Macaca fascicularis: one gene and its partners. The protein of the gene in region 1 purifies or fractionates together with the protein of each later gene. This does not show direct contact. Links are inferred from orthologs where the notes say so. Each region holds a gene or a part of one and is shown in the gene's direction. Other genes may lie near its edges.

The links.
Region 2: the proteins of BAG2 (region 1) and DNAJC13 purify together in Homo sapiens (affinity purification with mass spectrometry; 3 studies listed by BioGRID and IntAct, with this or other methods). This does not show direct contact. The link is inferred for Macaca fascicularis from reciprocal best matches to the Homo sapiens genes BAG2 and DNAJC13.
Region 3: the proteins of BAG2 (region 1) and IRF2BP2 purify together in Homo sapiens (affinity purification with mass spectrometry; 3 studies listed by BioGRID and IntAct, with this or other methods). This does not show direct contact. The link is inferred for Macaca fascicularis from reciprocal best matches to the Homo sapiens genes BAG2 and IRF2BP2.
Region 4: the proteins of BAG2 (region 1) and RASAL2 purify together in Homo sapiens (affinity purification with mass spectrometry; 3 studies listed by BioGRID and IntAct, with this or other methods). This does not show direct contact. The link is inferred for Macaca fascicularis from reciprocal best matches to the Homo sapiens genes BAG2 and RASAL2.
Region 5: the proteins of BAG2 (region 1) and LUZP1 purify together in Homo sapiens (affinity purification with mass spectrometry; 3 studies listed by BioGRID and IntAct, with this or other methods). This does not show direct contact. The link is inferred for Macaca fascicularis from reciprocal best matches to the Homo sapiens genes BAG2 and LUZP1.
Region 6: the proteins of BAG2 (region 1) and UBAP2 purify together in Homo sapiens (affinity purification with mass spectrometry; 3 studies listed by BioGRID and IntAct, with this or other methods). This does not show direct contact. The link is inferred for Macaca fascicularis from reciprocal best matches to the Homo sapiens genes BAG2 and UBAP2.
Region 7: the proteins of BAG2 (region 1) and HSF1 purify together in Homo sapiens (affinity purification with mass spectrometry; 3 studies listed by BioGRID and IntAct, with this or other methods). This does not show direct contact. The link is inferred for Macaca fascicularis from reciprocal best matches to the Homo sapiens genes BAG2 and HSF1.

The regions. Positions count from the first base shown.
Region 1 is NC_088378.1:114,546,289-114,550,314, reverse strand, and holds the start of BAG2 (BAG family molecular chaperone regulator 2), read left to right. Parts: upstream 1-1,226; 5' UTR 1,227-1,600; coding exon 1,601-1,713; intron 1,714-1,763; exon of another isoform or gene 1,764-3,310; intron 3,311-4,026. UniProt on the Homo sapiens protein: Co-chaperone for HSP70 and HSC70 chaperone proteins. Acts as a nucleotide-exchange factor (NEF) promoting the release of ADP from the HSP70 and HSC70 proteins thereby triggering client/substrate protein release.
Region 2 is NC_088376.1:35,412,197-35,415,696, forward strand, and holds part of DNAJC13 (dnaJ homolog subfamily C member 13), read left to right. Parts: intron 1-2,187; coding exon 2,188-2,295; intron 2,296-3,086; coding exon 3,087-3,242; intron 3,243-3,500.
Region 3 is NC_088375.1:14,524,370-14,528,669, forward strand, and holds the start of IRF2BP2 (interferon regulatory factor 2-binding protein 2), read left to right. Parts: upstream 1-1,500; coding exon 1,501-2,548; intron 2,549-3,145; coding exon 3,146-3,861; 3' UTR 3,862-4,300. Other genes in the region: uncharacterized protein, read right to left, coding at 516-1,502. UniProt on the Homo sapiens protein: Acts as a transcriptional corepressor in a IRF2-dependent manner; this repression is not mediated by histone deacetylase activities. Represses the NFAT1-dependent transactivation of NFAT-responsive promoters.
Region 4 is NC_088375.1:35,792,832-35,796,915, forward strand, and holds the start of RASAL2 (ras GTPase-activating protein nGAP), read left to right. Parts: upstream 1-1,284; 5' UTR 1,285-1,384; coding exon 1,385-1,973; intron 1,974-4,084. UniProt on the Homo sapiens protein: Inhibitory regulator of the Ras-cyclic AMP pathway.
Region 5 is NC_088375.1:212,044,410-212,047,909, forward strand, and holds part of LUZP1 (leucine zipper protein 1), read left to right. Parts: intron 1-666; 5' UTR 667-785; coding exon 786-3,500.
Region 6 is NC_088389.1:65,451,256-65,454,755, forward strand, and holds part of UBAP2 (ubiquitin-associated protein 2), read left to right. Parts: intron 1-95; coding exon 96-265; intron 266-1,883; coding exon 1,884-2,097; intron 2,098-3,500. UniProt on the Homo sapiens protein: Recruits the ubiquitination machinery to RNA polymerase II for polyubiquitination, removal and degradation, when the transcription-coupled nucleotide excision repair (TC-NER) machinery fails to resolve DNA damage. May promote the degradation of ANXA2.
Region 7 is NC_088382.1:153,969,930-153,974,096, forward strand, and holds the start of HSF1 (heat shock factor protein 1), read left to right. Parts: upstream 1-1,367; 5' UTR 1,368-1,526; coding exon 1,527-1,643; intron 1,644-4,167. Other genes in the region: ribosome biogenesis protein BOP1, read right to left, coding at 1,034-1,132. UniProt on the Homo sapiens protein: Functions as a stress-inducible and DNA-binding transcription factor that plays a central role in the transcriptional activation of the heat shock response (HSR), leading to the expression of a large class of molecular chaperones, heat shock proteins (HSPs), that protect cells from cellular insult damage.

The DNA.
Region 1 (4,026 bases):
CCTTAAGGGCTTCAACTCTGTTCAAGTATTTAAATGACTTTGATCTCTGATTAAAGGTGCTGGTTCAGCTTTAGACTATTATTATCTATCATTTTCTGTGCCGTGTACATTAACATCCTTGCAGTGAGAGGCATAGAGCTATCAGGAGAGGGGACCAAAACCTAACTTTTTAAGTAGACTAATCTTTGTATCCTCAGCTCTATTCCATCTTTTACCGACAGCTGGTGCCTGACCTAGAGGCCTACTGCATCTTTTTGTTAACATTAAAAGTTGGCCTGGCGCGGTGGCTCAAGCCTGTAATCCCAGCACTTTGGGAGGCCGAGACGGGTGGATCACGAGGTCAGGAGATCGAGACCATCCTGGCTAACACGGTGAAACCCCGTCTCTACTAAAAAATACAAAAAACTACCCGGGCGTGGTGGCGGGTGCCTGTAGTCCCAGCTACTTGTGAGGCTGAGGCAGGAGAATGGCGTGAACCCGGGAGGCGGAGCTTGCAGTGAGCTGAGATCCGGCCACTGCACTCCAGCCTGGGCCACAGAGCGAGACTCGGTCTCAAAAAAAAAAAAAAAAAAAAAAAATTAAAAGTTGAGGACTTCTTAATGCCAATTATTTCACTCAGAATATTTATTTATTTATTTAGACAAGGTATCGTTCTGTTGCCCAGGCTGGAGTGCAGTGGCGAGATCTCGGCTCACTCAACAGGAATAATTTTAATAGCAAAAATTAAAAACTCCTTCATTAAGCCGGGCGTGGTGGTTCACACCTGTAATCCTTAGAATGATAAAAATGAAGTAAATTCACTTTGTTTCCTACATCTACCTAGATAGGGAAAGATGGAGTAGCTTTTTCTTTTTTACTTAATAGCTTCAGCGTTGTCCGGGCATTCGTTACTCTCATCTTAGTATAAAGTGGTAACAGGAAGGTCAGGTGAGTGTGGGCTGCCTAGGAGCTGCACTTAACTGCCTTCTGTTTCACAAAAGGACCTTTTCTCCCTATATCACAGGACCCTTAATGTCGTTGTTCTTGCTTTGAATTATGGGTGCTGGAAGAAACTAAACGAAGCCATCACTGAGCAATACACCCACAACCCATCGACCGATAGGAACCTTCGTGTGGGGGAAGTTGGTTACTTTTAGGCTGCACGAAGAGGCGGGGCCACGCGGGGCGGAGCTGGGGGTGGTCTGTGGGTCCGGGCGGGCTTCGGGTAGTTCCTGGGTCCGAGGAGCAGACGATCCGCTGGCCACATTAGGCGCTCAGTCTCTGCGTCTGCCCCTCCCCGTGCCTCAGAGACTTGCGCTCCCCAGGCCCGAGCCCCTATCGGCCCATCCTCGAGCCCCTGTGGCCCGCGAACCTCTTAATTCCAGCCGCTGCAGCCCCCTCCCAGGCCCGGCGTCCCCGAGCCCCGCGGGCGCCGCGCCTGCCCTTCTTTGGCCACGCGGCAGCCGCGGTGTCGGCGAGTCCTCCCGGGTTGCCCCCGCGGGCGTCAGAGGGAGGGCGGGCGCCCGCGTGGTGACGGCGACGCCTGCAGCCCGAGGAGCGCTCCACTCGCCGCCGCCGGAGGGGCCGGTGACCTCTCGGCTGCCCCGCGTCGGAGGCTTAGATGGCTCAGGCGAAGATCAACGCTAAAGCCAACGAGGGGCGCTTCTGCCGCTCCTCCTCCATGGCCGACCGCTCCAGCCGCCTGCTGGAGAGCCTGGACCAGCTGGAGCTCAGGTGAGCCGCGGGCGGGCGGGCGGTCTCGGGCGTTCTGCTCGCCGCGCGGGCGGTTAGCGGACGGAGGCCGCGTGTGGCGGGCCGGGCCCTGGGGCACAGTGAGGCTGCGGCAACAGAAGTTGCTTGTTGAGATTTGTTGTGGATGGACGTGGTGTAGTTTTGTTTATTTCTTGGATTTTCTCCCCTTGTCCAAGAGAAAACGCATTGTAAGCTAAACCTGTGAGGGCGTGATGGTGGCCACACTTTGATTAACTTACCTAGGTGTTGGGGAGCAGGAAAAAGAGGAGATAAAAGTTAAGAGGTGAGATTCCATGCGATTAACGACTGTGGCAGCGTGGGTCTGCAGAGCTTCTAGAACCTTCTGTGTGGCCCCAAATGTTTTTAACTTACTCTTCTCCCGTCATACATTTTTAAGGGAGGCAGCAGTTTACAGTGGCCCTCCACGTGAAGTTAAGTTTCCTTGCTTCAGAACACTTAAAAGAGCAAAAATGAATAAAACAAAACCAACCCAGCAATCCATTGAGACCAAAGATTAGAGAGGAGTGAGGGGTAGGCAGTAAGTTACCGGGTGCTTCGTGCAGTAAAGACGTTGCGGCTTCTCTTTATCCCCTGACCTGGCGGACGGGATTCCGCGGTTCCGTTTGTCTCTCAGTATTTATTGGGCACCTCCCTACATAGAAGACGAAGTGTTAGTCACTGGCCTGAAAGTATGAAAAGATAGTTTTCCCTTTTTCTTGCTTAAGATTTTATTAGGTAATATAGTAGTAGACTTGTACAGAATTTCTAAACAATATAATGTTAATAGATTTTTGGAAAGACTTTAACGGTATATTGAAAAGTTTTATCTACTTCCTGTGAACGTTTGTCTCAAGTTACTGTGTAAATTTTGTGAGCAACTGTAGTTAAAAGAAAACCTTGTTAGGCACCTGGAATTCCCTGAAACTGTACACAGGAGTTGGTTCCATAGTTTTCTCTAGGTTGTGCATGAGCAAAGAAGCATGTGAGCCAAAAAGTTCAGGAAACACTGCATGTGTGTTTTATCTCCCTCCATTAATACACCCAAATATGAAGTGTCCGTTTGCCGAGAAAATACTTCAAAACCACGGCATCTCTTTTAACAAGTAAGGCATTATTATTGTTACTATTGGGAGAAAAGAGCCAGAGAGTGAGAGATTCTCCGCTCAAAATAATTTCTTGGATGGCAGCAGAGAAACCTAAGCCCTACACGAGGTTCTGGGGTTCCACTCAGAATGAGGCAAGTGGAAGAGAGAAATAATGCTTCCTCATGGATTTTCACAATACTAGCAAACCTGACCCGTTCCACTCCCAGAAAAAGTAAAGCGCAAGTAGAAATTGGTGGCCTCAGTTACTGGAAGTCCCTCTAACTGATGTTTCTTTTTAGGGAGCCGCATAACAAGTAACACACCTCTCTCCATGTCTTCAGAACGTTGAGGGCATGTTCTCAACCACTTCACTCGCTCTCCCCTAGTTAGAAAGAAAAGATTTTTTCCTAAAGGAATGGGTAGGATGTTACTCCACCCCGCCTTCCTTCAAGCTGAGTCATTGTCCTCAAACTTGAATTAATGCCTCACATGTGGTAGGTACAAAAGCCCTCTGAAGTGCTCCTCTTAAAAAGAAAGCCTCAGGTTTTGAATATTATTATATTCTAATGTTTGATTAATGTAAAATGAATTCTGATTACTGCACATCAGTGATTAAATTACAACTTGCTTAATTAACATTTGAGCTGAGGAGAAAAGTGATTAATATGTGGCTGTTCATTTCAAGGACTTTTTTTAGTAATTCTAGACTTTTGTAGGCCTTTTTTTTCTTTTTAAAAAAGTAATACTAGCTGAAAAGGAAGGATTTCCTAAGGTAAGCAAAAATAGAGAAAAATGCTAACATTGATCCTATTAAAGTGTTTTTTTGAAACCACATGGGCAATGGCATAGAACACTACACTATTAAAAACTAGAATCATGCGTACAAGATCGATTTTTAAATGAAAACATGAAACTCATATGTAATTTTGCTCTAATAGTTTGATTTTATGTTAACTAATAAAGTAGTGTAACTGGGTAGAATAAAACCTTACCGTTTGTACTTAGAAGTGTGCACGTAATGTTCCCTAACCACATCATCCTGTCAATTGTGGAAGAAATTTCATACTTCATGACCTGGAGTATGAACTGATCTACATGATTAAAATGTTTGGCAGCAGTTCTACAAACTGTTAAAGGATTTCCATTTATCTCTAATGGAATTTATCAGTACACTAGCCCTTTTTTTAGACTGCATTTTGTCTTCTGTATT
Region 2 (3,500 bases), on another chromosome or scaffold:
TAAAATTAGAGGCAGGTTGACCAAATTGTCATGTAAGAAATGAGTTGCTGAGCTAGGGTAGTCACAGGGGCTAGAGAAGTGGTACATCTGAAAGCTGTTGCGCAGTAAAGATCTAACTCAGTGGCAGCTTGTACAGAGGGAGAAACAATTGTTTAGTATAGTTTTGAAGTTTCTCATCTCAGTTTTGTGTGTAGTACCTGGGACTTTTCCTTATATAAAGTGTTTTAGGCAAGCTTAGTGGCACATAAACATAAGTAAACACTTCTATAAAACCTTGCATCCCCAAAAGTGAATTAATTATATTTACTGTTCCAAACAAGTAGTGAGATAACTAGAACTTAAAATAACAATGATTTGGAGAGTTGCTTTATTATAACAAAAGATGTTCCTATCACCCAGGAAATTCTAAGGGTAAAGAGCTTTGTGTCAGGCTCCCCTATCATTCAGGAAATTGCAAAGGCCTTAGGAGCTCTGTGTCAGGAACCAGGGTAAAAGACTGTTGCAACAAAAGATTCTGCTAGTACCCCTGTCTGCAAGGGTTTTAGGTGCTGTATGTCAGGAGCCAAGGAAAGAGACCTATATATATATATTAATATGCCATATATTCCCTCTGCTCAGAATTCTTTCCCTGCTCATCATTCGTTAAGAGCTCAAGTCAGCTTTTAAATGAAGCTTACCAAATATGCACACCTACTATGTACCCACAACAATTAAAAAATTTAAAAATAAATGGAGCTTTCCTATTCCTGAAGGTGGTAGTGGTTTATCCCTCCCTGAAGTGAAATTACCCTCATGAATATAACACTTATCTTTCTTAGCAATTTCTTCTTTGGATTATTGCTATTTCTAAACATGGTATATTTTTTTCAATCTGTCAGCTTCCTGAGGATAATATTCTTGTTTAATTTTTATTTTTATCTTTAACGGGCCTTGTCAAGCTGTTTAATAAACAATAATTATTTTTTTCTGTGTTTCAGGTACTATTCTATGAATTTCACATATATTATTCAGTCTTCCAATGAACTTTAGAAGTTACTACTATTATATCTATTTTACAGAGAAGGACTTAAGGCCCAAGTAACTTGTTCAAGGTCATGTAGCTAGTAAGTGGTAGAGGAGGCTTCAAGCCCACTTTCTGGCTCCAAAGTTTATACAATTAACCATAACAACGTACAGTATTTGCTAAATGAGCAGAAACAAAAAGGAAGGAAATTCTGACACGTGTTGCAACATGGATGAATCTTGAGAACATGATGCTAGTGAAAGAAGTCAGTCACAGAAGGATAAATACTGTATGATTTTATTTATATGAGGTCAAATTCACAGACAGAAAGTAGAATGGTGGTTGCCAGGGGCTAGGGGAAGGCAGAATGGGGAATTGTTGTTTAATGATTACAGAGTTTCAGTCTGGGAAAATGAAAAAAGTTCTAGCGATGAGTAGTGGTGATAGTTGCCCAAAGATGTGAATGCTTAATGCCACTGAACAGTGTAATTTAAAATGGTTAAGATGGTAACTTTTGTTATATGTAGTTTACCACAATAAAAAAGAAAAGTAAACGGTGCTATGAAACATTGAGCCCTCATTACATATTAGGTGTTGGCTGTGTATCTTACATGAATTATCTCATCTAAGCATTATAGTAATCTTATATAAATACTATCACTCCTACTTTACAGCTGAGGAAAATGCAACTCAGAGTTATGTAAAGTAACTTACGTTGCCTAATGTCTCCCAGTTATTGTCAGTAGTAAAATTAGGATTGGAACTGTACTCCTAACCATCATGCTGGAATGTTTCAATAGTCAAAAGAAAATCACCCTTGAGACAAGTATTTGTTGTTTAGTACATGCTTTTAAATGCTAAGTTTTATTTCAAATTTTAGTTTTAAAATTCTGGCTGGGCAAATGTTGTTTACCTTTTAATAAGATCTGTGACCTTTGAGAGAGTACCTTGTGTATATGTTGAGTTAATTGTTGGGCAAATTATCTGTGAAGTCTGATCAAAATCATGGTAAATCATCACTTCTGCCTGCTTATCATGAGTTTCCTTTTTGTCTTACACTTTAAAGGCAATGGTTTTTAATTCTTTCAGTGTGTAATTTGAATACTCTTTATAAATGACTTTTGTGTGATGCTAGCACGTGGGACTGCTTATGAATTACCACTTTTTTTTTTTTTCATCAACAGCCCATGCATGATGACTATGACTTAAGACAAGAACAGTTGAACAAAGCTTCTCTTCTCTCATCAAAGAAGTTTCTGGAAAACTTACTGGAGAAATTTAATTCCCATGTGGTAAGTTATAATTAAATTTGTCTTCATGGTAGGTCTCATGCCGTTATTGAAAGATAATCTAGAAGTGCGACATGGATGATTTTTTTTTTTATTATAGCCCCCAGCTTTGGTCAGTATTGGTCACAGTTCAGCTTGGTCACTGATAATAAAATATTTTGTCTTAGGACTGTATCCATTAATCTGGGAAGGATACATGTCAAAGCCTTTAGATTTTCACAGTGATACTCCAATTTTTGTTTTTTCTTTCTTTAAAAATGTCATTATCAAATAAACTGCTCTAAGAAAATTAAGGCAAATCTTTGTTCATCAGTTCCTGATAATTTTGGAGATGGGCATTCTATAGCATCTTGAAGGAACATGAGCAGATTGCCAGAGTTTTTTAAATATTAAGGCAAATCTTTGTTCATCAGTTCCTGATAATTTTGGAGATGGGCATTCTATAGCATCTTGAAGGAACATGAGCAGATTGCCAGAGTTTTTTAAATATTGGCAAAGATTTCTTTTATGCAAATAAACATTAACCTTTGTTATACACATTTGAGAAGTCTTGGTTATACTCTTGAAATTTGACTGAATTTTAATTGATCCTTTTGAGGTATGATGGATAATGGATTCACTGTGTGAGCAAAGCAAGTACTAAAGAGTCATCCAACTTTGAACCTCATGTTGAGAAATTAAAGTCAATGTTTATGTCTGACATATAGAATAACAGAAAGGAACACATTATTGTTACAATGTAACTGAAGCTCCCCATCTTCAAGTCTTTAAGAGAATCTGTTGCTTTGTTTCAGGATCATGGGACTGGTGCCCTAGTTATTAGTTCACTCTTGGACTTCCTTACCTTTGCCCTCTGTGCTCCATATAGTGAGACAACTGAAGGGCAGCAGTTTGATATGCTCTTAGAGATGGTAGCATCCAATGGAAGAACCCTTTTTAAACTTTTTCAGGTGAGAGCTTATAGTTTTCTTATCAGATAGCAGTGAATTTAAGGGAACCACTTTTAGGATCACTGTTTCTAAGATAACATTTGCATACTTCTACAGCAGAGATGTCCAGTCTTTTGGCTTCCCTGGGCCATGTTGGAAGAAGAAGAATTGTCTTGGGCCACACATAAAATACACTAACACTAACAGTACCTGATGACCTAAAAGAAAAAACAATCACAAAAATGTTTTAAGAAAGCTTAAGAATTTGTGTTGGGCTAC
Region 3 (4,300 bases), on another chromosome or scaffold:
CCGAGGCACGTCTGCGCGGAGCGTGCGCACACGCGGCGGCGGCCGCCCACGGTCCCGAGTCCACGTCACGCGCCCGCCGCGCAGACCTACATAAGGCGGCCGGGGCAACTGGCGCGGCGAGGCCCTAGCTGAACAGGGCGGGCTGGACGGGGCTAAGAGCAGCACTTGGTGTTCGCGAGCTGCTAATCCGAACCGCGCTCCCTCCCCTCCAGAGGGCTCCGTGGAAAACGCGCGAGCCAGCTGGCGGCGTGTGCACGTGGTGCTGGGCTTGGGAACATCCAGATTCTCCCTAGTTAGTAAAAGGGGCAGGCGGCGGGTATGTCCTTCCCAAGACAAATGCAAATGCAAAGCACCAGTGACGGATTTCATGCTCTTGTGTCCGACATTGAGCTTTCAAGTATAACTCCTAAAAAACCAGAACTGTGAACCACGCTAGACCTAAAATCCCCATTCTCAGGAGACTGACGGAAACCAAGTGACAAAGTGGCCTTGCATAAAAGAAAAAGAAATGGCTTTTAGCACGATTTGGTCCAGAGGCACACCAGGGGAAAACATCCTGAGGGTGGTCGAGACAGCCGGGTGGGGCGTGAAGTGAGGGAAAGTGGAGGAAAAGCACACGACCACTTTGCGCCGTGTTCCGAGGGGACACCAGCGCTGCGCTGCCGCGCTGCCCCGCGAGCGGGCGGGCGCCACAGAGCCGGCTCTCCCGACAGCGCTCCTTCGGCGCGCAGGGGGGAGGGGAGCGCGCGCGCGGGAGGGCGGGCACGCGCCCGAGGGGAGGGGGCCCGCGCAGGCGCTGTGCGAGACTGTCGAAGAATCAAGTCTGTAGAAGTGGAGCGGCCGCGGCGGCAGCAGCAGCAGCGACGGTGGCGGCGGCAGAGCTGAGGCGGGCTGGCCGCTGACGCTGGCGCTGGAGAGCGGCGACGCCAGGAGCTGTGAGAGAGCGGCGGAGCGACCCGGGGCCTGCGCCGCACCCGAGCTCCACGCCGCCCAGCCGCCGCCGCCCCGGCGCGGCATGCCCCGCCGCTCGGGCTGAGCCTGCCCCGGCGGCCGCCCCCCGCCCCCTGCCCCCCCGGCCTCCCCGCCCCCCGCCCCGCACACTGTGCCGGCCGCCGCCGCGACCTGCTGCGCTCCCCCGCGCCCGCGCGGCCCGTCTTCGCCCCGGTCTGGAGGCCCGCCGCGGCTCCAGCCGAGCCCCCGCCGCCGCGCCCGCCGCACCGCCGCACCGCGCCGCCCGCCCGCGCCCGCGCCGGCCGGGGGGAACTGCTGCCGCGGCTGCAGCCCCTCGCCTCGCGCCCGCCGCCCCTCGTGCACCGGGGGCGCTGCGCGGGCGCCGAGCCTTCGCGGGCTTTGCCGCCGCCGCCGCCGCCTTTGCGGCCGCCGCCGCCGCTGGTGGGGGAGACGCGGGGTTGGGGGGGGAGGAGGGCGCGCGTGGTGCCGGTGGGGGGCGGCGGCGGCGCCCCCTCCTCCTCCTCCTCCGGCGCCGCGGGCTCCTCGGACATGGCCGCGGCGGTGGCGGTGGCGGCCGCGTCCCGGCGGCAGTCGTGCTACCTGTGTGATCTGCCCCGCATGCCCTGGGCCATGATCTGGGACTTCACCGAACCTGTGTGCCGCGGCTGCGTCAACTACGAGGGCGCCGACCGCGTCGAGTTCGTCATCGAGACAGCGCGGCAGCTCAAGCGGGCGCACGGCTGCTTCCCGGAGGGTCGCTCCCCGCCCGGCGCCGCGGCCCCGGCCGCCGCCAAGCCGCCGCCGCTCTCGGCCAAGGACATCCTCTTGCAGCAGCAGCAGCAGCTCGGCCACGGCGGCCCCGAGGCGGCCCCGCGCGCGCCGCAGGCCCTGGAGCGCTACCCCCTGGCGGCCGCGGCCGAGCGGCCCCCGCGCCTCGGCTCTGACTTCGGCGGCAGTCGTCCGGCCGCGAGCCTGGCCCAGCCGCCGACGCCGCAGCCGCCGCCCGTGAACGGCATCTTGGTGCCCAACGGCTTCTCCAAGCTAGAGGAGCCTCCCGAGTTGAATCGCCAGAGCCCGAACCCGCGGCGCGGCCACGCGGTGCCGCCCACCCTGGTGCCGCTCATGAACGGCTCGGCCACGCCGCTGCCCACCGCGCTCGGCCTCGGCGGCCGCGCTGCCGCCTCCTTAGCCGCGGTGTCCGGAACCGCGGCCGCCAGCCTGGGCTCCGCGCAGCCCACCGACCTGGGCGCCCACAAGCGGCCGGCATCCGTGTCGAGCAGCGCGGCCGTGGAGCACGAGCAGCGCGAGGCGGCAGCCAAGGAGAAGCAACCGCCGCCGCCTGCGCACCGGGGCCCGGCGGACAGCCTGTCCACCGCGGCCGGGGCCGCCGAGCTGAGCGCGGAAGGTGCGGGCAAGAGCCGCGGGTCTGGAGAGCAGGACTGGGTCAACAGGCCCAAGACCGTGCGCGACACGCTGCTGGCGCTGCACCAGCACGGCCACTCGGGGCCCTTCGAGAGCAAGTTTAAGAAGGAGCCGGCCCTGACTGCAGGCAGGTTGTTGGGTTTCGAGGCCAACGGGGCCAACGGGTCTAAAGCAGGTAGGGGCGGCTGTGAAGTGAGGGGTTCTAGGGGAGAAAAGGGGACGGAGAGCAGAGGAGGGGTGGTTCTTTCGATTCACCATTTTACCCCAGCTCAGAAACAACAAACACCCCACTTCCTGATCTGCCTGAGGCGGAACCAGTGCTTAGTGGCAACGTGTTCATGTGCTGAAGCAGCATAACAGAGATGAGTCAGACTGGGCTGATACGCTCTGACACGGGGTTTTCCTTTCCCAGCACATTCTTGGATGGGAGCATGAGGGCACTAGTCACCTTTTAACCTATTGGGGGACATTAGCAGTCACATGCCCAGTGCAAACTAGGGTACTTTTGTGCATGTGTAAAAACAGGCAGTTACAAGCCTGCCATTTTCAGTGGCTCCGTTTTATTTTCAGTCTACTGCCTCAGAACCCCACACGCCTAAATGTTTCAAGTTGCGTGTATGTGCACCTGAAACTCGTAGGAGGGTTTTCCGTCTGTGCTTTTAGAGAGGAGGAATTCTGTAACGAGTTTTGTTTCGGGTTAGGAAGGGAAGGATCCCTTTCAGTGCACCGCCATTTATGTTTCCTTTTTCCTTTTATTTCTTTGTGTTTCCAGTTGCAAGAACAGCAAGGAAAAGGAAGCCCTCTCCAGAACCAGAAGGTGAAGTCGGGCCCCCTAAGATCAATGGAGAGGCCCAGCCGTGGCTGTCCACATCCACAGAAGGGCTCAAGATCCCCATGACTCCTACATCCTCTTTTGTGTCTCCGCCACCACCCACTGCCTCACCTCATTCCAACCGGACCACACCGCCTGAAGCGGCCCAGAATGGCCAGTCCCCCATGGCAGCCCTGATCTTAGTAGCAGACAATGCAGGGGGCAGTCATGCCTCAAAAGATGCCAACCAGGTTCACTCCACTACCAGGAGGAATAGCAACAGTCCGCCCTCTCCGTCCTCTATGAACCAAAGAAGGCTGGGCCCCAGAGAGGTGGGGGGCCAGGGAGCAGGCAACACAGGAGGACTGGAGCCAGTGCACCCTGCCAGCCTCCCGGACTCCTCTCTGGCAGCCAGTGCCCCGCTGTGCTGCACCCTCTGCCACGAGCGGCTGGAGGACACCCATTTTGTGCAGTGCCCGTCCGTCCCTTCGCACAAGTTCTGCTTCCCTTGCTCCAGACAAAGCATCAAACAGCAGGGAGCTAGTGGAGAGGTCTATTGTCCCAGTGGGGAAAAATGCCCTCTTGTGGGCTCCAATGTCCCCTGGGCCTTTATGCAAGGGGAAATTGCAACCATCCTTGCTGGAGATGTGAAAGTGAAAAAAGAGAGAGACTCGTGACTTTCCGGTTTCAGAAAAACCCAATGATTACCCTTAATTAAAACTGCTTGAATTGTATATATATATCTCCATATATATATATATCCAAGACAAGGGAAATGTAGACTTCATAAACATGGCTGTATAATTTTGATTTTTTTTTGAATACATTGTGTTTCTATATTTTTTTTTGACGACAAAAGGTATGTACTTATAAAGGCATTTTTTTCTTTTGTTAACGTTATTAGCATATCTTTGTGCTTTATTATCCTGGTGACAGTTACCGTTCTATGTAGGCTGTGACTTGCGCTGCTTTTTTAGAGCACTTGGCAAATCAGAAATGCTTCTAGCTGTATTTGTATGCACTTATTTTAAAAAGAAAAAAAAAGCCAAATACATTTTCTGACATTGTAAGATTGCCTTACTGTCTGTCATTCCTTATTGCTGGCCCCTTTCTCAG
Region 4 (4,084 bases), on another chromosome or scaffold:
TAGAGACTATATAAACAAATCAAATGCAGTTATTGGTTGATGATAATAGTGATAAATAGAACATTGTAATATGTTTAAAGCAATAAGTGTGTTGGTTTTCATTACGATTTCGACCATAATAAGAAAAAGACTTAGTGTGAGAACTGTTTTTCATTGTAAAACATTCTACAAATAAGTGGATCTTTTTTTTTAGTTTGCCAGATGAAATCATTTTTTAAAACAACTTGCAGGGTGACTTTGATTGCCCTGTTATATCTGTTTTATTGGTAGTCTGAAGTCTGTCAGGCTTTCCATTTGAAACCCTTACTTTCAGGGGTTTATGAGCAGACAGTTGAAAAGAACTTAACCAGCAAAAACTTGGCATTCGTGATCTTGGTTCAGTATAAGGTACTTGCTTTAACAAATTTTAAGTAGTCAGCTCTTTCTTAAAGTTGTAAGGAGCACAAAGAGGAATAAAGGAATTTCTTTGGTTAAACAGATAGGGAATATTTTTCCAGCCAACTTATCCCAATTAGATTTATATAGCAAACTTTCCTCTCCCAGAAATTTTTAAAGTATGTACGTTCCTATGTTCCAGTTGCCACAAGATCTTGCCTCAAGATTTTCCTTTTCCTTTGCTATAGTTTATAGCAAATACCTTCTGCCTCTGCTCTTTTTCTTCCTATTTATGCTTTTTAAATTCTTCATACTATAATGTATTTACACTAAAAATGGTGTTGGCTTTCTTTTGGCTTTTTTCCTCCTCTTACAATACCAGCTTGAATTTTATCTATTGGTTGTAAAACAATATTAACTTTGAGAGATGTAAAATAAATAGCATTGATTTACTTGAAATTAAACTTCTAAAATGCAGACCATCAAAACTCTTCTGAAGAGTTGTCACTCCAAGACTAGGCAAGTTTTTTTTTCTTCTTCTGGAAAGTGTCGATATCAGCTTGAGTAATTTGATTTTCTTCACAATCTGTTTTTAACTTACTATCATTTGCATGGTGAACACTTAACTACTACTGGTCCATAAAGGTGTTAGTGGGTTGTTGTTATTTCACTTAAAAAAAAAATCATTTGCTGAAAGCCTATTACAGAAATGTAACCTACTGCAGGAAGTGAGGTGATCTTTTGAAAATCTTGACTTTCTCTCTATTCCGATGATACTTTGCTTCAGGCAAGAGGCTTTTAGGTGCTGCTAAAGTTTTTGAGATCTGGGAAAATGGCGTAATAACATGACACCAGCTCTTAAGCAGCAACATCTGCTGTGGTTCAAAGCCACACAAAGAAAGCTGCTTAAGCAGTCAGATGTTTTGGACTACACAGACATGTGTGGTTCAACTGCAAAGACTGCATAGTAGAGGAAGCTTAAGGCTGTTAAAGACTGGAGTTGGGGAAGATGAGCATCTTTAAGAAACAAACATCACCTTGTCCTCCAGGCTATCGAAGATCTTTGTCAGAACCTGCTTATGCAGATTCAGAGATAGGAACAAGTTTAAAGAGTTATCCATGGTGTGGTCCAGTGAAAAGCAAGAGGAAGAAAAATGAATCTGCTGTTTCCAATCTAGGAGAGCCACTGGGTGCTTATCGGTGGCAGAGACATCTGAGTTTTAGGTGGAAAGGGAACAAAAGGGAGAGATTGCAGAGTAATAAAGTAGACCTGTTTGAACGACAACAACAGAAGGTCATCCTGCCAAAGATGGTTAGTAATAATGCTTCCTCCTCTGCTAATGAGGTCCTTGGAACATCAACAGAGAAGCCACACCTGGTCAACAGTCGGTCACTTCGAGCACCATTCACCAGATCTGTTTCAGAACCAGAACCCCACTGCAGTATCCGATTTGTTAGACTGTGGCCAACTTCAGTTGGGTCAGTGGAGTCTGAACAGCAGGGATATTTCATCCGTGGCATTTTCTCTACTCTTTCCAATGGCTTCTCCAGGATGCTGAGTCTAAAAGGAGAATCAACCAATGAGCCAGTAAGAGAAGGTATATTGAAATGAATAAGGGGAAAAGTGGGATGGCTCAGATTTAGTTACTGTTGAAATTTTAATTATTTGTTTTATAATCAGGTGAAGCTTTTCATTTTCTCATTATAAAACAAATATATTAGCACAATTTTTAAAAAGTGATCATCACTGCTTTAGAAACCTTTTAATGACTTATAGTAATAGCAAGAAGTTAACGAATTTGGTTAATTAAGGAATTTTTTTATGATGTTAATTCTTGAACTCAATTTTGGGGCCCATGTGAAAAAATTATTTTTAATGCTCATTTGTCTCCACTGATCTACTTTTCCAGTTTAAGTGCAATTTGGAGGGGAAAATATTCAAATAATTTTTCATGACAATTGAGAATTTAAAATGTATTTCTACTATTATCTCTTCATAAACATTATTTTTAAATTAATGTTATTAGTGAGAAATGTGGAACAGAATTACACTGATAGCTCTTAAAAAGTTGGGATTTTAATTTGCTTATATCATAAAAATACTCCATTTGAATATGGAAGCCAAGCATGCAAATCTTGAATATCTGTTTAGGTGACAAAATAGAAATTTGTGTTTGATTCATTTAAGATAATAGGATTTTCAAATTTTTAAAAATCTCATTTGGGGCTGTTTAAAATTTTTAAATGTATTTCATATTGATTATAGCATTGTTAAAGCCAAAAAGCCCACAATGCTTAATTTTTTTAACTGATTGCCTTAAAAATGGTTGACCGTATCTGGTGAACAATTTTGGTTATGACTTGAGGCCTATGGTTTTTAAAAAACCTTAACACTAGAAGCTTGGTAGTATCTTCATGACCAGTTGAGATCATTTTCTGACAAGCTCTTACCATTAAGAAAATTTCAGCCTCTCATTATTAGGAGATTGAACGTATCATCAAAGGTTTAAACCCTTTCTAAAACTGAGAACTGTTGAAGAATTTTGTTATTGAAATATAATTTAATTTATTTTAAAATAAAGTTGAAGAATGCTAATGAGATCATTTCAGTGAAAACTTAAGTAATTTTCCAAATTAATGTATGCCAAAAATTCAGTATTTCCTGTAAACCCTGCCCTCCCTAGATGTTCCTTTGCTCAGTGAATTTTAATGATGCTCTTAAACATATATATTTTCTCCTTACTCTTGGCAAATAGATAATTACCTAGAGGAAAATCTTCCTCCTTAATGTGCCTTTATTAACATTCCAGTAAAATTTTTGAAAGACTTGGTTGTTTCACTTTCTTGGATATTTGTAATGTCTGTTTCCTTGCCAGGTGATCATAAGGTGATCAAAGTAAAAGAATGTCAAAGGAAGTTAAGAGTTTAAAATCTTACAGTCAGTTCCTCTAAATGGTTAGCATGTGTGCATTTGATAAAAGAAGCAATACTTTAAATTTTTGCATTTATAATCATTTTTGGACTTTCGTAGTGCAAACTTTCAGTTTTTAGCAAATATACCAAGCTATTTTTGATGGTCTACGATGTGTGAGGTGCTGTGAGGTGGTTGGTGTCCCTGCATTTTACGCATATATGGTCTGCTTAAGGAAATATAAAATGTTCTGTATTGTTTCCTACTATCTTATCCTTCTAGTCATGGAATAATATGTATGTGGAAGCACATACAGAGTTTAAGTTTAAGGTGCTGTTTCAAGGAATTTAGATTCTAATAACTAAAAAACAGTGCATTAGCGTCCTACCAGTCATATAACAACATTTATAAAACAGTTCCTCTGCTATCTCCTCAGTGCTTCGTGTGTGTGTGTGTGTGTGTGTGTGTGTATGTGTGTGTGTGTGTGTGTGTGTTTGAGAGGAGGATTAAGCTCTTAAGACTGAAATGTACTGTTTATTATAAAGACTGGATCAAGTGCCTATGCAGAGGTCTCCTTTTCTCTTTTGGCAGTAACTTCTTTCTGGCCTAGTGTCTACATCACTGGTTTTCTGACCTTTTGCAGTTGTGAGCCTTTCTTCATCCCTCATTTCCCACAACAAAAGACTACCAAATAAATGACTAGTTTGATTTTCTTATCTAAGAGAAAGTAATTAAAGTTAAATTCACTAAGTTAACAAATTAAGAAGTAAATTTATAGGCAAGAGCTAGTATCCTAAT
Region 5 (3,500 bases), on another chromosome or scaffold:
AAGCTGCCTGTTGCCTGGGTGGGGCCAACTCACACCTGAATTCCACTTACAAATACACTTTTGGGAGAAGAGATGTTGAAAACGGGCGTGGAGAGATTGCTTTAGTATATTGTGAAGCTCACCATTTATAGCAAGGCAGATGGGTTAATTTGTATCACTTTTAAGTCACAATAGCTCATAAGAGATAATCTTTTTTTTTTTTTTTTAAATAATCTTAGGTTTGTTTATTGCTTTGTTACCAAGATCTTCCACATATTGTCTCAGAACAACACTGGGGAGAAATATGGTAGACATCATTATGCCCATTTTACCACTAAGTAAAACTGAGGCTCAGTTTACATTGTTAATGACTCTCCTGAGATTATGCAGGTTGCAGGTGGTAATGATGTTACTATACCCTGCCATGAGAATTGAGGCTTCTTATACGTCTTTTTGCCATGCTGCCACTGGTGACATTCTTTATTAGGGCGAAACGAGGTATCAACTCAATATTGGCCATAAAGAACCAGTGTTTTCTTGCAGGTTTGTTTGTCATTCATTCAACGAGTTTGAGCCCCTCCTATGATCCAGGCACCAGGAACAGATAGGAGCTCTTTTCTATAACTGGGAGCTAACATGCAGGTTTTACATTTGCTGACTGACGTGCTTTCTACTTTGCTTCCATAGATTGATGATGGTCTCCAGCTGTCAAAGAAGATTGTGGTTGCCAAGAGAAAGGTAACCATTTCTCATCCCCTTGAGTGGAGTTGGATGCCTCTAGGAGTCCACATTGGCTGGCAGTAGACATGGCCGAATTTACAAGCTACAAGGAGACAGCCTCCAGCCGCCACTTGCGATTTAAGCTACAGAGTCTAAGCCGCCGCCTTGATGAGTTGGAAGAAGCCACAAAAAACCTCCAGAAAGCAGAGGATGAGCTCCTGGATCTCCAGGACAAGGTGATTCAGGCAGAAGGTAGCAACTCCAGCATGTTGGCGGAGATTGAAGTGCTGCGCCAGCGGGTGCTGAGAATTGAAGGCAAAGACGAGGAGATTAAGAGAGCAGAGGATCTGTGTCGTCTGATGAAGGAGAAACTTGAAGAGGAAGAAAACCTCACCCGGGAGCTGAAATCTGAGATTGAGCGGCTTCAGAAACGAATGGCTGAATTAGAGAAGCTGGAAGAGGCCTTCAGCAGGAGTAAGAATGACTGTACCCAGCTGTGTTTGAGCCTGAATGAGGAGAGAAATCTGACCAAGAAAATCTCCTCTGAGCTAGAAATGCTCAGAGTCAAAGTGAAAGAACTAGAATCTTCTGAGGACCGCTTGGATAAAACTGAGCAGAGTTTAGCGTCAGAGTTAGAAAAGCTGAAATCATTAACTCTGAGCTTTGTAAGTGAGAGAAAATACTTGAATGAAAAGGAGAAAGAAAATGAGAAATTGATAAAAGAACTCACTCAAAAACTAGAGCAGAACAAAAAAATGAACCGAGATTATACAAGGAATGCTTCTAATCTGGAAAGAAATGACCTTCGGATTGAGGATGGCATCTCATCTACACTGCCGTCCAAAGAATCAAGAAGGAAGGGCGCTCTGGACTACCTAAAGCAGGTGGAGAATGAAACAAGAAACAAATCAGAAAACGAAAAGAACCGCAATCAGGAAGACAACAAAGTCAAAGACCTTAACCAGGAGATTGAGAAACTTAAAACACAAATCAAACACTTTGAATCGTTGGAAGAAGAGCTTAAGAAAATGAAAGCCAAAAATAATGACCTTCAGGATAATTACCTAAGTGAGCAAAATAAAAACAAATTATTAGCCAGCCAACTGGAGGAGATAAAGCTACAAATCAAGAAACAGAAAGAGTTAGAAAATGGGGAGGTAGAAGGGGAAGATGCTTTCCTGTCCAGCAAAGGCAGACATGAGAGGACTAAGTTTAGAGGCCACGGAAGTGAGGCTCCTGCGTCCAGGCACACAGCACGGGAACTGTCTCCTCAGCATAAGCGGGAACGACTCCGGAACAGGGAGTTTGCTGTCAACAATGAAAACTGTTCTCTGAGCAACAGGCAGGTTTCTTCTCCCAGTTTCGCCAACAGGAGGGCAGCAAAAGCTTCTCACATGGGGGCGAGTACAGACAGTGGAACTCAGGAGACAAAGAAAACTGAAGACCGATTTGCACCCGGATCCTCCCAGAGCGAAGGGAAGAAGTCTAGGGAGCAGCCCTCAGTGCTGAGTCGCTACCCCCCCGCTGCTCAGGAGCACAGTAAAGCGTGGAAGGGGACTCCCAAGCCGGGCACCGAGAGCGGACTGAAGGGAAAAGTGGAGAAGACAACACGAACGTTTAGTGACACCACCCACGGATCTGTTCCCAGTGACACATTGGGTAGAGCTGACAAGGCTTCTGACACCTCCTCTGAGTCTGTCTTTGGCAAGAGGGGACATGTACCTGGCAATGGAAGTCAAGTAACTCACGCTGCAAACTCTGGCTCTTCTAAGGCCATTGGAGCTCTGGCCTCATCTCGAAGATCCTCCTCAGAAGGGTTCTCTAAAGGCAAAAAGGCTGCCAATGGCCTTGAGGCCAATACCAGTTCCTCAAATTCCAAGGCTCCTGTTTTATCAAAGTATCCTTATAGCTCTAGAAGCCAAGAGAACATCCTTCAGGGATTTTCAACCTCACATAGAGAAGGGGTTGATCAACCTGCAGCAGTTGTGATGGAAGACAGCAGTCAGCATGAAGCCTTGAGGTGTCGAGTCATCAAATCCAGTGGCAGAGAGAAGCCAGACTCAGATGATGACTTGGACATAGCATCTCTTGTTACTGCCAAGTTGGTAAATACAACCATCACTCCAGAGCCCGAGCCCAAACCACAGCCTAACTCTAGAGAAAAGGCCAAAGCCCGAGGGGTACCTAGAACCTCCCTGTTTGAGAATGATAAAGATGCTGGAATAGAGAATGAATCTGTGAAATCTGTCAGAGCCTCCACCAATGCCATGGAGCTCCCAGATACCAATGGTGCTGGGGTAAAAAGCCAAAGGCCCTTTAGCCCCAGAGAGGCGTTGCGATCTAGAGCCATCATCAAACCTGTTATTGTTGATAAGGATGTGAAAAAAATCATGGGAGGATCTGGAACAGAGACTACGTTGGAGAAACAGAAACCTGTCTCCAAACCAGGGCCAAACAAAGTGACAAGTAGCATTACTATCTATCCCTCTGACAGCAGCAGCCCCAGAGCTGCTCTGGGTGAGGCCCTGAGGGAGAGGCACACATCCACCAGCAATATCCAGGTGGGGCCGGCAGAGCTCACATCATTTAGCAACCATGTCAGCTCCCCTTTTGAGCTCTCCATTCACAAACATGACATCACCCTGCAGCTTGCAGAAGCGGAGAGAATGGCAGATGGGCCCCTGAAGAACAGGCCAGAAACAGTGGTCTCTCGGAGCAGCATTATAATCAAGCCATCGGATCCTGTGGAGAGGAATAGCCATGCACCTCCAGCGGAGACAATCAGGTGGAAAAGCCATAGT
Region 6 (3,500 bases), on another chromosome or scaffold:
CCTGGGAACCTAAATGCTTGTTTGGCTCTGTTACAGGCCTTTGTGACCTGGAATCTGTGACCTCTGCTCCTGACATGACAGCTTTGCTTTTTCAGATCCCAGCTTCTGCAGTGGAAATGCCTGGTTCAGCAGATGTCACGGGATTAAATGTGCAGTTTGGGGCTCTGGAATTTGGGTCAGAACCTTCTCTCTCTGAATTTGGATCAGCTCCAAGCAGTGAAAATAGTAATCAGATTCCCATCAACTTGTATTCGAAGTCTTTAAGGTACTGAATTTAGTCCTTCGTTATGAAGCAAAATAGACCCTAAGAGATCACCTGGTGGAAAGAATACATCCTGTGGTAATAGATTGTGCAGCTGTCCTCAGTGTTTATCCAGACCTTCCATCATCTCCATGAGAAACCCCATACCTGTAGCAGACAGTCTCAATTTCTTCATTGCCCTGCCCCTTAGCAACCAATAATCTGTCTCTGGATTTGCCTACCTGGACATTTCATATAACTGGAATCTTGGAATATGTGGCCTTTTATGTCTGGTCTTTCACTTAGTATAAGTTTTCAAGGTACACCCATGTTTAATGTATCATTTTTATTGCCAAATATTTCATTGTGTTGATACACCACATTTTATTCATTGATTAGTTGGTAGACATTTGGGTTGTTTGCTCTTTTTGACTATAGTGAATCGTGCTACTGTGGACATTTGGTTTCAAGTTTTGCATGCTTTCTGTTCTTCGGGATGTATGTCCCAGGAGTAGAATTGCTGGGTCATATGGTAACTTAACCATTTGGGAAACTCCCATACTGTTTCCACTGTGGCTGTAGCATTTTACATTCCTACCAGTAGTCTGTGAGGGATCTAATTTCTTCACATCTTTGCAGCAGTAATTTTCTTCAGTGGAATATTTTATAAATACAAAATCTCAGATTTTAGTTTTTTTGTGGGGTTTTTTTTTTTTTTTTTTTTTTTTTTGAGATAGAGTCTTGCTCTGTTGTCCAGGCTGGAGTGAAGTGGCATGCTTGACTCGCTGCAACCTCTGCCTCCCAGGCTCAAGTGATCCTCCTGCCTCAGACTCCTATGTATCTTGGATTACAGGTGTGCACCACCACGCCCAGCTAATTTTTTAATACGTTTTATAGACACGGGGTTTCGTCGTGTTGCCCAGACCAGCCTCAAACTCTGGAGCTCAATGAATCTGCCTGCCTCAGCCTTCCAAAGTGCTGGGATTACAGACATGAGCCACCGTGCCTGGCTGACTTTGTTGTTGTTGTTGTTTTAGTTTTTCCGCATTCCAGAGGCAAAACCTGATACTTGTTTAAGTTCCCTTTTTAAAGATGGTCTCAAACACCTTAAAGAATCTTCCTTAAAGATTCCTTAAAGAATTCCTTAAGATTCCTTAAAGAATCTTCTTAAGTATTCTTTTTTTTTTTTTTTTTTTGAGACGGAGTCGCAGTCTGTCGCCAGGCTGGAGTGCAGTGGCGCGATCTTGGTTCACTGCAACCTCTGCCTCCCAGGTTCAAGTGATTCTTCTGCCTCAGCCTCCAGAGTGGCTGGGATTACAGGCGCCCGCCACCATGCTCTGCTAATTTTTGTATTTTTAGGAGAGATGGGGTTTCAGAATGTTGGCAAGAATGGTCTCAATCTCCTGACCTCAGGATCTGCCCACCTTGGCCTCCCAAAGTGCTGGGATTCCAGGCGTGAGCCACTGTGCCCAGCCTAAGTATTCTTAAAGATGTCCCCCTATCTCTCAGTAAATTAGGTGAGTCTCATTTGGGACAATAAATTGATGAAGTAGTTGCATCTCTTGAAGCTGTTTATTTTTATTTTTTTCATGAAGCTATTTAAAGTAACAAAATTATGTTGAATATCTTTGACTCTTTTCAGTGAGCCTTTGAATACATCTTTACCAATGACCAGTGCAGTACAGAACTCCACATATACAACTTCTGTCATTACCTCCTGCAGTCTGACCAGCTCATCACTGAGTTCTGCTAGTCCAGTAGCAACTTCTTCCTCTTATGACCAGAGTTCTGTGCATAACAGGATCCCATACCAAAGCCCTGTGAGTTCATCAGAGTCAGCTCCAGGAACCATCATGGTAAGTGGTATTTTAGTTTTTTTCTCATAAGATGTCTGTCTTATTTGGAAATTAATGTTTGGTTAAATTAATGCTTCTTGGATATGATTTTATTTTACAAATTGACCTTTTGGGTAGAATCCTTATAGTTCATTGAGTTTGTTTACAGTGGGCATCTCTAGCACCCATGCTCTTGAGTGTGTGGATAGATCCACAAGTTCATACACTTTGTGGAGAAAACCAAGCATCCACGTAGTGTGAGCACTTCGGCTGTAGTACTGGGTACTTCTACATTGTCTGAAATATCTCTGAATATTTCTTGTACTGCTTTCTCTCTGATTGCCCCATTTGCTTTGAATGTATTTGCTTCTTCATCACTGTTAGGTATTTTTGTGTTAAAATTGTGTATTCCCTACCTAGCTTGTTAATAATACTGGACTGTAGATAAAGGAACCAGATCTATTTTTGATAGTTTTAAAGTGTTACCCTTCTAGATTCTTGCTAGCTGCATATCTGGTGGTCATTGCCAATTGTATTGCTTTCTGTTAAGTTGAGATGTACCAATATCTCCTGAGAATCTTAGAAGGAAACTTAAAAAAAAACAAGTAAGTATACACATTTCTGCTAGGCCAAATCAGCTGTTTTTACTATTTTCATGTCACACTAGTAATACCTGAACATCATTCTCTTCCAGAAAATTAAAATAATATGGATAACACTACAGGAATACCTTGCAGATACTGCAGGTTGTTTCAGACCACTGCAATAAAGAAAGTTGTGCTAATTTTTGGTTTCCTAGTGCATATAAAAGTTACAATGTGGATATCTTAATTAAAGATACTTTAAAAAAAATAAAAATAAAAATAAAGATACTTTATTGTTAAGAAATGCTAAAAATTAATATGTGAGCATGCAATGTGAGCAATTCTGTGGGTTGTTTGTTTTTTGGGGGAGTACATGGTCTTGCTTTGTCACCCAGGTTAGAGTCCAGTGGCGCAATCACAGCACACCGCAGCCTTGACCTCCCGGGCTCAGTCAATCTTCCCACCCTAGTCTCCCAAAGAGCCTAAACTACAGACATGCATTGCCATGTCTGCCTGCCTTTTGTATTTTGTTTAGAGACAGGATATTGCCAGGTTTTGAACTCCCAGGTTCACGCAATCCTCCTATCTTGGCCTTCTTCCAAAGTGCTGGGATTATAGGGTGAGCCACCACAGTGGGCTCTTTGTTCCTTTTATCACTTGACATTATTTTGTAAATATGACATGATAGCTTAGGATTTCAGCTCAACAACTCTATATATCCCAGGTTTCTGAGTAAATTTTTTAAGCCAACAATTTTTATTAACAGTACTGGGACTTGATAATCCTATGAGTAAATCCAAACCCTTGCCCCACAAGAACCCCTCCTACCATATATACACC
Region 7 (4,167 bases), on another chromosome or scaffold:
CTACTCAGGAGGCTGAGGTACCCGGGAGATGGAAGCTGCAGTGAGCCGAGATTGTGCCACTGCACTCCAGTCTGAGCAACAGAGCAAGGCTCTATCTCAAAAAAAAAAAGAAAATAAAATAAAAGAAAGAAAAAGAAAAAGGAAAGAAAAGAAAATGGAAGCAGTTGAATGTAGAATTCTAGATTTTACTGCTTTCCTAACAGTTTACAAGTCTCACTTAAGGTACGACCTGGATGTATTAGCTATTGCATACTGAGTGTTCACACAATGCCTCTCTCACACAGTCATGATGTGTCTTGGTCCTCAGTCAGCTACACAACCACAATAACTAGTGGAAATGGCATGCATGGCCTGAGCACAAACAACTGGCTCCTGAAGACCATTTAACTCAAGGGTGCAAGCAGCAGAACCTGGCGCCTAGAGCGGCCTGCGGGCCGTTCAGCCCATGGGAACCAGGATTAGTTGAGTTCGCTTCACAAAGCAATGGGGCAGTTTCAACAACCCAACGCGGCCGAGGGGGCTGTGAGAGGCTGGCTGTCCATTCCCTCCACCACCCAATTTGACGATCCCCACAACCAAGACGGGGCTGAGCTGGCAGAGGGCAACAGTGAGTTCTGATACAACAAACGCAGCAGACTCTGGGTTCTATTCAGGTTTTCTTATTCTCACGTCTATCCCATGAGCATAAAAACGCGATTAACTAGCGCATAAGTAGGTTAAGCATTTACTGGGGGCGCAAGCCGAGCCCTTTTACTGGCAGGACGCACAAATGGAACGGCCGGAGAGGCTGCTGCAAGGGGCGCTTATCCCCACTCCCTGCACCCCCGTTTCTTCGCTTCCCGGACGCCGTCCTTCACCCTGCAGTCTGCTCTGCCTAAGACCCCCCGATAGAGGAGCTGCGCCCACGCCCAAGGCCGATTCACTGGGCACGGGCGCCCAGGTGACAGCAGCCGGGCCCACCCGCCCCAGCGCGGCCACGTGCCCGCTGGGCCTTCTAGGGACGCGCCTCGCCGCCCCGCATTGCCGCAGTCACCTCTGGCTCGGGCTCAGGCTCCAGTTCGGGCTCCGACCGCCGCTTCTCCGGCCGCACGCTTGGCGCCGCCGTGCGCCCCGTGCCCCGCGAACCCGCCATGTCCCGCCGCGCGCCGGCCGCGACCCGAACAGCCGCTTCCGGCAGCGACACGGCCGCGTGCGCAGGAGGACGCGCCCCGCCCAGCCCGGCCCCGATTGGCGGGCGGGGGGGGGGGGGCGGGACCAACACGCGCAGGCGCGCGGCGGGGCCGGGGGCCGGGGCGGGGTCGGGGCCTGCGTGCTCGCGCCGGGGGGGGACGCGAGAGGGCGGCAGCGGCGGCGGCAGCGGCGGGAGCGCGCCCGTTGCAAGATGGCGGCGGCCATGCTGGGCCTTGGGGCTGTGTGTGCGCAGCGGGCGGCGGCTCGGCCCGGACGGCTGGCGCGGCAACGGCGTTAGCCCGGCCCTCGGCCCCTCTTCGCGGCCGCTCCCTCCGCCTATTCCCGCCTTGCCCGAGATGGATCTGCCCGTGGGCCCCGGTGCGGCGGGGCCCAGCAACGTCCCGGCCTTCCTGACCAAGCTGTGGACCCTCGTGAGCGACCCGGACACCGACGCGCTCATCTGCTGGAGCCCGGTGAGGGCAGCGCGCGGGCGCGGGGCCCGTGGGGACCGGGAGGGAGCAGGGCCGCGGTGGACGGCGCGAGAGGGCTGCGGGGAGGGGCCCTGCCACACCTCGGCTTACGCGCGGGGAGCCTGCCCTGCCCCCGCCAGGAAGGGCGGCGGGTCCCGAGCCTGCCCAAACGCAGAGCCTTAAGTTGGGAAAGCGGCTGCGAGACCCACACCCGATTGAACCGCTGCCCCAGCGAAGTTTCCCTGGGATGGGAGAATGGGGCGTCCCTTGCATCGGGCTTCTGCTAACTGTTGGGCGGTTGCGGAAGTGTCCGCGCTTAGGGCAAGCACCCGGCTTCGCCAGCGGACGCTGTGCTCCAGAGGACATCGGCGTCCCCGGGGGACGGCCTACGGGGTGCTGGGTCGGCAACTATTCGGAGAAAGTCAGGACTTGGCACGTGAAGCGGAGGGCGTCGCTGTAGTGGAAAAGGAAAGGCAGTGGAAACAGAAAGTAAGACGTCATGAAGCTTCAGGTTAATCTCAAGCCCGTTTCCGAATCCCAAATCTGGGTTTCCCAGGAGGAGTTTTGTTTTTCATTCCTTGTGGGGCGTCTTTACTCGTGTGTCTGTCTTCAGTTGCCTGGCAGCAGGCTTGTTTACACGGTCCGACCCTGCAAGACCGGACAGCTCCGGTTTGCAGAAGTAAATCAGTGATTGTCTGGAGTTGGAGATCAAAATCTGCTGTTCACATCCCGGCTGTGACGTCGTGTCCGGTGAGGGGCAGAGCCACAGCCTGTGGCTGGCAAGTGATGGCCTGAAGAAAGGCCACACTGGCCGAGCAGGGTGACTCTTTGCTGTGAAAGCAGCACTTTGGGAGGTGGCGGCGGGTAGATCACTTGAGGCCAGGAGTTCGAGACCAGCCAAGACAATATGGCAAAACCCCGACTCTACTAAAAATACAAAAAATTAGCCGGGCGTGGTGGTGCTTGCCTGTGGTCCTAGCTACTTGGGAGGCTGAGATAGGAGGATCCCCTGAACCTGGGAGGCAGAGGTTGCACTGAACCGAGATTCCACCACTGCACTCCAGCCTGGCAAAGAATGAGACCCTGTCTTAAGAAAAAAAAGAAAAAAGAAAGGCCACTGATCACTGGGAGCTTTTGGAGGGACCGTGACAGGCGGGATGCCACCAAGCACGTGTGGCCTCCCAGGAGCTAAGACCCCAGAGTTCCTCAGGCTCTGCTGAGGGCCTCCCATTTGCACAGCCTCTTTCTGCTGTTAGGAATGAAGAAAAGTCTGAACTGAAGCTGCTCCAGGCAGGAGGCCAGGCCTTCTGCTTCTCGGGTTTACTGAGGCCCTGCTTTACCTACAGAGTGTTTGGGAATAAAGAGAGGACTGGAAATCTTTGCTCTTTTCAGAAACACTTTGTATTTGTCCTGCTGACACCTCTGTCTGTGTCGGCCTTCCCATCCCCAAGTCCCATTACGGCGCAGTGCGCCTTCCTGCAGGCTGACTTCATTTCACCATCTCTTCATTCTAGACCTTGGCATTTTTGTGCAAAGGAAGTATTCCCATGTTTCTGTTTTCTTTTATCCGTCTTTCGTTTTCTTTCTTTCTTTTTTTTTTTTTTTTTTTTTGAGACGGCTTCTCGCTCTGTCACCCAGGTTGGAGTGCAGTGGTGCGATCTTGTCTCACTACGACCTCCACCTCCCAGGTTCAAGCAATTCTCCTGCCTCAGCCTCCCGAGTAGCCAGGACTACAGATGCACGCCACCACACCTGGCTGATTGTTGTATTTTTAGTAGAGACGGGGTTTCACCACATCAGCCAGCCTGGTCTGGAACTCCTGACCTCAAGTTATCCACCTGCCTTGGCCTCCCTAAGTGCTGGGATTACAGGTGTGAGCCACTGCACCCAGCCCTTCCTTCTTTTTCTTATTCCCCTTAACCCTCAGAAGTACTCTCTTGCCCCATTGGGGGAGGGGCATCTGAGATTATCTGGGATATTCTAAGCTTAATCCTACTAGCATGATCTGTCCTGTCCCATAATCTGCTTGCTGTTTCTGCTTAAAAGATTATGAGGCATGTGGGTTAGGTCCCAGTGTACTCTTTTTTGAGACCGAGGCATGTTCTGGGCAGGGCTTTTGAGCAAGGGAGGCAGATTTGATGAGGCCTGTGGCCAGCCTCCACTCTCCTCACAGGTGCACCACCTGTGGGCCTGTTCTCCCTGGGGAGGGATGGGGAGCCGTGTGGAATGTCAGTGTTTGGTTCCACCTGGTCAGTATAAAGTGGCAATGGTTGGTGCAGGATGTAGCAGTGGGGGCGAGCATGGCAATGAGATAGAAACACTGACTTCAAACTGGAAGGAAGCCCTTCTCCAGACTGTGCGGGGAGCTGCAGAGCTTTCTGGCGCTGGCTGCGTGGCCTGGAGAAAGGAGGTGATCGTCCCATCCTGTGGCTTTAAGAGCACACAAGCCCTGAGGACTCCATGTCGGCAGAGTCCCAACAGGGGACCCTCCCACAAATCTACTGCCCAGGCCCAGCTGGCTCTCGGA